2 linked regions of the Danio rerio genome follow. The protein of the gene in region 2 interacts with the protein of the main gene of each other region in a pairwise test. Links are inferred from orthologs where the notes say so. Each region holds a gene or a part of one and is shown on either strand. Other genes may lie near its edges.

Region 1 (4,540 bases), on a different chromosome or scaffold from region 2:
ATCATGCCTGTTCGGCCTTCTTTGTTCTTGGCACTCCACCACTGCTCCTCAGGCTTGTCCATAATTATTAGGATTTCACCCTTCTTGAAAGGAAGGTCTTCAGCATCGCTGCCAGTGAAGTCATAAAGAGTCCGCACATACTCCTGGTTCTCATCACCCAGTCCTCCAGATGGCTGAATAGGACCACTGGGCAGAGCAGTACTGGGGTACCTGTAGAACAACAATCAAATCATATTTAGGATCGACTTATAAACTAGAAAAGCAGCATTTAAGAGCCCATCTAAAAGCAAACACTTTAATCAGCTTCTCGCTAGTGGAGGCCTTTTGTAATATTTAATCATCTACTCGATGTGCACTTTCACATGCAGAGTAACTTCCTGTTATCTTAAAGGGAAATAACTTAATTTTTCTTTACTGCACATCTCAAAAAGAACATTTTATAAAGAACCAGAACAAAATTGAGGGGAACTACAGATGTTTAATTCATTACTCTCATTGTAAGAGTAATACTAAACAGCCACCAAACCTATGGCAAGCAGTTTTAACAGTTATAGCTTACACTTAGTGAATCAATTTATGCTAATGATTAATTCTGGGCCGATAAACTGTATTATATCGAGTCGCGAAAATTTATATCAATGATAAGCTCTGAAATTTTTTACTTGATATTGACCTAATTACACAGCAGAAATGTGCAACAATGGGTATCTAAAAGTGTGTTGGTATTGGAGATGCACCCAATGTTCGGCCACCAAAAATTTATCGGCCAAACATATATTATGCCATTTAATGGTCCCTCTAATTTTTGTGACTTCAGTCATTGTTGGCATACACTTTTACATCTGGAAGCATTAACAACTTGCATCGAAATATGAGCAATTTCAGCATTATAGATATAACATTTACAAAAACTCAAAACATAAATTCACAGAAAAAAGTATATTTTAACAATCAAAAACAACTAACCACCAAGTTAAGGGATCTAAAAAATATCAATCTGTAAACATTTTTCATACTTTAAATGAGGAAAATAAACATGCGTTATGGATATGACCAAAAAAGTCTGCAAGTTACAGTATACAGCATACTTTGAAGAAATTATGTGAATTAAAACAGCAAAACTCAAATGAAATAATGCTAATTAAAAGGATGAGAGTTGGCTCTCTATAGAACAAAAAAAATCTTGATTTTATTTTACATTTTTGTATTTATTGAAAAAAAAAGTTAAGTTAGTTATGGATGTGACGTCTCTCTGCTATGGATGTGACGGATGTAAAATTGCTACTTGTGCGACTTTGATAAATTAAATATAATTGATTTTTCAGTCCAGTAAAATACAAGCCTACACACACACACACACACACACACACACACACACACACACACACACACAAAAAAAGAATTTAGCTATTTTGGTAAAAAACATAAAAAAAATTCATAGCAAGGTTGACATTTGCATGGAATTGCTCATATTGTCAATATGGAAAATAATTATTGAGATTGCATTTTTGCCAACTAATGATACTTTTTGTCTAGCAAGTAAGCCAAAACTAATCAATACTTTTACATTACTATCAACTTATAAAGACTTGCAGATGACGTCCATTTTTGACAGATGTACAAAGTTTCCAAATGATTCATTCATTACAATCATAAGTTGTAATATTTAGCAAAATAATATTTAATCATAACTAAGCCGAATCTCTGTCAAATTATCTCTGATAATACGTTTTAATTACAACATCAAAATATAAAAAATTCTGCTTTATAATTGAATTGGCTATACAAAAAAACATGATTTTAATGGACTAGTAGAGTCAAATTTTTAGAGGACAGTCACTAAGAAAATTATGCTAGTAACAAACTGCTGTCTTTCCAGTTTTACTAGTTGTAACTAGCAATATTTATCTTGTAACAACTTTTTTTTACTTGCCACTTTGTGAAAAAAAAATTATTATGATAGCTCAAAAATAACCTTACTAGCAGACCACAGTAGTCAGACCACAATAAAACCATGCAATGTGTTACTTATTAGCTAAAATATAAATGCCAGTGTCAAATTAAAAGTAAAACTGAAAGCATTTCCAGAAACATCCAAAAAGCTTCAACTTGCAAAGATTTGAAATTTAGTTTCCGTTGCAATTACAGGTTACTTACACAATACACTACTGGGTATTGGAGTATTGTTGCAACAGAAAACGTACAAAATAGATGAGTAATAACTGGTAACTAATGCAACTTAAAAATATAGTCTAGCAAGTAACGATGACAAAAATGAGTCAATAAAAACAGATCCTGGTTACTTCGAATGTTTAAACGGCTTGCCACAGAAGAGAAGGGGAGGGAAAAGAACATTATTGAGAAGAGGGGTGGATGATGTGACGATGTCAAAAGTAAATGAAAAAAACTCTTACCTTGGTGCTGGTTCTATCAGGGTGGTCGTATCCAAATAATGTATTTTATAGAACTCCAAAAGGCCGGGTAGATTATCAAACTCTTGATCGCCTATCTTGAATCTCTTGCTTGGCAAAGAGTTGATGATATAGTGCGAAACTTTGGAGTTTTCGGACACTGAAAGTACATAATCACCAGGACAAGTGGACGAATCTCGCACTAAAAACATCCCGTGTCTCTGTCCCTGTAGCCTATTCTGCGCCTCCTGTCTCGAAACCGGCCCGAAATACCAGCTGGCTCGGTCTGAGGAGTCGAACCGTGCAGACGACATGTTTATTCGAAATACACTTGTAACTGACGAACACGGGTGAAAAAAAGCAAAACGAGCAATAAATTAAAACAACAAATGCTTATTCTTACAAGCGACCTAGCACTTCTAGACCCGTCAGTCCTACTGAACCGCAACCTGACGTTTGACCAGACAGGCTGCGACTAGCGTCAACCAACTTTGATGCATTGCTAAATTTTCCACCAACACAAGATTCGCGGCGGTTTTAGGAGAGGTGTAAATAACCCCAAAAGTTCAGAGCGAGCTCAAATACACGTATTTGGAATCAAAGTTCCCCTTTCCGCTCTCTCTTCCGTGAAAGTAGCTGCAGCTTATGAGACAATATAACGCGTTAGCTGAGCTAGCCGTCTTCAGTCACCGTCCGCTCAAGAGGAGCCAAACAGCGCCATAATATGTTACTAAATCGCTCAGCATGACAATTCAAGCCGACGTACGTCAGTTGCTTCCAAAAACGAGTTCTTCTTTGCGTTCTGCCCCAAAGCACGAAAGAGTTGTGTCTCTAATTTTGACTCCAAGCAGACTTAGAGAGCTGTAACAAAAATGGCGGCCCGCAACACGTCTTCACAAACAACGAATTGTGAAAAATCTAGAAACATAAAGTTTCCCGCCTTGCACGGCGCTCTTTTTTCTGACGCGCGCGTCTTTCACGCTACAGTACGAGCGAGAAGACCTTTCTTAAAAATTCTGTTTTCTATGTCCTCCTTTCCTTCTCGGGATTGGTGTAAAGGCTGCTTCAGCTCCCCACACCGTCCGAGAAATGGCGTCTGGAGGGCGGATCTGCGCGCGCTCACGGTCTGTCTGATCGCCCGTCACGAACGCCCCGAGCGCCTGTTACTTAAAAGGAAGAATGAAATGAGTGGCGTTCAGAGGGGCTGCATTTCAAACTCTCTGAACCGCGATAATGAGACACACAGGGCACTGACAGAGCCTAGCGTGAGTAAAAGCTTTAAAGTGCTGTATTTTTGCTTACATTTTGGAAGGCAAGCTTGGATCACATCCTATCTGGATACCTGTTGTTTACACGGGGAGTTATATATATTAGCTTCACATGTTCAACTTTTTGATAAATTTATGATATGTTGGTGCCTAATGAATTTAAACATTTATCGGTGGAAGAAACTGAAGAAAATGTGCACAAGCCGAATTTACTTTTCTAAATCAGTAAAACATTAAAGTTAAATTGCATTTTTTTTGTGTAAATTCAGTTAATAATTGAGGGTATTCATTCTACATCTCATTTTACTCATTCTAGCTACACCAGAATGTATTTAGTTGCAGTATAACCTATAGACCTTTTTAAATATAGAATTAAAAAAAGACCACCAACAACTATAATGGCAAAGTATTAGGACAACAGCAGCCTGCGTTTAAACATTGTTTGTATAAGAAATCCTTTGTACCCATTTCAGTGGGTTTATTTAACAAGAGTTTATCTTAATTAGCATTGTAATATTAAAACTACTGTATTTTGCATTATTTTTATTGTTTGTTTTATGGAATGTCTGCAGCAATATGGTGATGACCATAACAAATTTCCTGTCAAGGACAATAAAGTTAACTTTACTACCACTTATGTATATGAATTATCTTGGTGGGATTGTGCCTTTACTTGAGTAATTTACAGTCCTGAATATGTTAACATTGATAATTGCATTCCTATACAGATAATGATTATTAGAGGTGAAAAACATTCAGGATACATATGCAGAGACATAATAATACAGAACCTTAAATACAAAAATAAAACAGCAACTTTATGTAAGTCGTCTTACAAGCATTATGTCCAATACATTACAT
Region 2 (3,824 bases):
ATATCAGAGGGTGTTGAATATGGAGCATGTGGATGCATCCGCCGGAGGGATCCATGGGTAATATGATTACGCCATCCTATGCTATCTGCACCAGGGCAATCTGATAATGATAGGGTAAAGACTTGTAAATAAATTTGATCATGCACAGATGAAAATGGATGCAGACGAAAAATATACAGTCTTTTTAGCATGCTTTCAAAAGCTTCACTAATAGTCCAGTACTCTGCAATAACTAATTAGAGTTAAACTGAAACAACTTTACCAGTCCTCACCTGTATTTGAGTCAGAGGTGAAATGCTGAGAATGGGGGTCAGTTTGGTTTTCTGTAGGTCCACTGGCATGGTGCACCGGGCCGGGGCAGGAGGCAGATGGAGGCGGAAGAGGAGACGTAGACTCAGACTGGTAACCCGAGGCATATCCTCGACTCTCTGAGGGTGAAGGCTGGTAGGGGGAGCAAGGGCACGTCTGGTGTGGTGTCTGGTAGCCACTGGAGCTGCTGCTGTATTTAAGATCCAGATGGGCATGAGAGTGAGAGCGGGAGGGTTCTGGGTATGCAGGATGGCCTGCTGGGAGTGGATCAAAATTAAACGCAGGTAATTCATGACCGTGGGGCCCGTATGGGGATACAGTAGCCCTTCTGTGCCAGTATTCAGCCTCACGTTCTCTCTCCCACTGTAGTTCTGCATCTCTGTCTCTGTCCCAGTGAAGAGACATCTCTCTTCCTCTCCTTAGTCCTGGCTCCCGCTCCCATATCTCTGCCCCTCTCTGCATGTCAGCCTCTCTTGTCCGTCTTAACCCATTATCCCGGTGAAGCTCTGCCTCTCTCTCCCAGTGTATTCCATCCTCTCTGTCCAAACGTAAAGTGTGGAACTCTTCTCGTCGTAGAGCACAGTCTCGACAGGGGCAGCCGGGTGTCACTAGGCCATCTATCATCATGACATCATGGTAGGGTCCGCTGGGTTTGGGATGGTGTGAATGATTGTGATGATGGTGAGGATATGAAATGTACTCATCTGGTCTACAAAGCAGTCGGGGGGACAGACTGTGTGGATGAGAATTGATCTCTTGGGATGGATATGGATACAGGTGGCGAGATGGTCCCTCTGAACAAGTGCGATGCAGGTAGTGCTGTGGACCTTGCTGGCGGTCCCAGAGCAGGTCTGGAGGAGGAAGGGATTGGTGAGGATGGGTGCTGTGATGTTGGCAAAGTCCTATGACAGATGACATACCTGGAGACAGAGCCCCTGTGTGTCCATTAGTGGTGGTGGGCCGATCAAGGCAATGGCCATTGGGTAAATGATGAAATCCATTACATCCAGGCTCAGCACAACCCTGAGATCGGTAACCCACACGACAAGAACATGAACGGCCTAACCTCAGAGACCCAGTTCTTTCAGGAGGCAAGGAATCACCATCATCCAAAATAGCCGTCTCTCGGTCACGGTCTCTCAGTCCATCGCCTTCAATCCCACCCAATAGCCGCTCAAGCTCCTCCCTCTCTTGCTGAGTAGGCGGGGCCGGTCGAGTCGGTTCATCGAGTCGATCAGGAGGAACAGATGAGTGTCCGGAATCAGTGCTAACAGACAAAAGCTGACTTGGTCTTTCCTCAGAGCTTCTTGCAGGGCTTCCATTGGTCGATGGCAGAGAGGAGCAGCCAGCAGCAGCGCGGCGCTTTTTAACCTGTGCATACAAGCTGCCATCTACAGGGCCACGTGTATGAGCAATATCTGGAGAGAAGTAATTGCAAGATCAATATTTGATGCATAAAATAATTTTAATAATCTATACTTTATATACTTTGATTCCACAATTTTAAGTCATTATGAAATTTAAAGTCTACATTTATTGAATTAAAAATATAGTAAAAAACATCAGTGTAAAATATTATTTCAACCTATTAAACAAATTAAACTAAATGTTTTCTGTAACACTTTATTTTAGGTTACAATTCACAGTAATAATAAACCATTAACTAGCCCTACTAGTTTAATAAACTACTAATTAGTAGTAATGGGAAGTTCCAATAATTTTACTGACTCTGACCTTTGAGTCTTGTTCATTGAGATGAATGAATCTTTTTTTCGAGTCATTTTGTACAATTTGCCAAAATATTATTAAATGTTACGAGTTGCTTCCAAACTCATCTACAAGCTCGAACGTTGATCACACTACAAACATGTCAGCTCACCTTTTCTGACAGGTCTTCAAACTAGAGTGATTCGTTCATGTCGTGCTGACAGTCCCATATACGCTTAACCAGAGAACACAGTCCAAGCCGAATAAAGCCATGATTAGTTCACCTTTTGAGTCTTCTGGTTTTTAAATTATTCGTTCATCACGTCACATGACAGCATGTAAAAAGAGATGACTCAAACCCAAGGGCTCGAGAGATGAATGGATCAAATCTTCTTCCGGCTCTTAATGCATATGATTGGCTTCTGTCTTTCATGTGATGAACGAAGGACTCAAATCGAGGACTCGAAAGATGAACGGATCAAATCTTTTTCCAGTACTAAATGCATATGATTGGCTTCTAACCTTCACGTGATGAATGAAGGACTCAAATCGAGGACCAGAGAGATGAACGGATCAAATCTTTTTCCAACTCTAAATGCATACAATTGACTTTTGTCTTTCATGTGATGAACGAAGGACGCAAATCAAATACTCAAGAGATGAACGGATCAAATCTTTTTCCGGCTCTAAAGGCATATAATTGGCTTCTGTCTTTCATGTGATAAACGATACTTGAAAGAAGACTCGAAAAAGCAACTATTTTTCTACTCCACCAGCACAAATGTGCACACGCGCAAATGAAACAAATCACTCCCTGAGAGGACTCCTCCCTGAGTCAGACAAAAGATTTGCTTAAAATGAACGAATCGATCAAGAACGACCCATCACTACTAATTAACTGTTTATTATTAGTTAGCAAGCTAGAAGTTAGGTTTAGGTTTTGGGTAGGATTAGCGAAGCAGAATAAGATCATACTTTATAACTACTAATGAACTTTTAATATTGAAATAACAGACGGGTAATAAGCCAGTGGTTAATAGCATAAGTTCTGAACTAAACTAAAGTGTTACCATGCTTTCTACCTTATTGCTTTTTAAAAATGTAATTTAATAAAATGCTGGCTGAATTTGTAGCAGCTATTACTCATTTTCCCATGATTTCTCAGAAACCGTTCTTGTATTCTGATTCTGGAGTATTTCAACAGTTCTACTGCTTAGTAATTGTGTTGAGCTAACTGGTTTACATGAGATTATTAGTCTTTTGCAAAAGTAAAACTTTTATAGACAATTTCATGCTGAACAAATGCATATATTTATTTTAAAAAGCCAAATGTATTATAAAACAGTACGTTCCCTCTGAATGCTTGCATAAATACCAGTGTGTGGTTGTATGAATGAATAGTAGTACCCTCTAGGCTGTCCTGATGCCTCTGATTGAAGTTCTCATATGAGTCCCAGCGCACCACTGGATCATTTGTGTTATAGTCCACACTGACAGCTGGATCATTCCTTTGGCTCACTCTCCCTGAATAAAACACACACACATAATGTGGCCCTGTCATTTTAATGGAAATTCTGCACATTAGCTCAAGGAAGAAAACTATTTGTCAAACAATGTCATGGTCCCTGAAAGAGAAATTAAAAGGTTAGTAAGATCATCTGCAGTTTGAGCAAAGTTTTACATTACCTTTAATTTTCTCAGGCCCAGATGAAAACACAAACTCCACTATGGCATCAGGGGGAAATTTGTCATCTACAAGAAACAATAGGAACTGAGAGTGTTCATCATTGCAATAATATTTTTCATTA

What was found.
Region 1: the proteins of tns2a (region 2) and crkl interact in a two-hybrid assay, tested with the Homo sapiens proteins (2 studies listed by BioGRID and IntAct). The link is inferred for Danio rerio from reciprocal best matches to the Homo sapiens genes TNS2 and CRKL.

Annotation. Positions count from the first base shown.
Region 1 is NC_133196.1:20,315,728-20,320,267, reverse strand, and holds the start of crkl (crk-like protein), read right to left. Parts: upstream 3,011-4,540; 5' UTR 2,726-3,010; coding exon 2,415-2,725; intron 211-2,414; coding exon 1-210. UniProt on the Homo sapiens protein: May mediate the transduction of intracellular signals.
Region 2 is NC_133198.1:10,676,499-10,680,322, reverse strand, and holds part of tns2a (tensin-2), read right to left. Parts: intron 3,769-3,824; coding exon 3,703-3,768; intron 3,541-3,702; coding exon 3,424-3,540; intron 1,728-3,423; coding exon 273-1,727; intron 101-272; coding exon 1-100. UniProt on the Homo sapiens protein: Tyrosine-protein phosphatase which regulates cell motility, proliferation and muscle-response to insulin. Phosphatase activity is mediated by binding to phosphatidylinositol-3,4,5-triphosphate (PtdIns(3,4,5)P3) via the SH2 domain.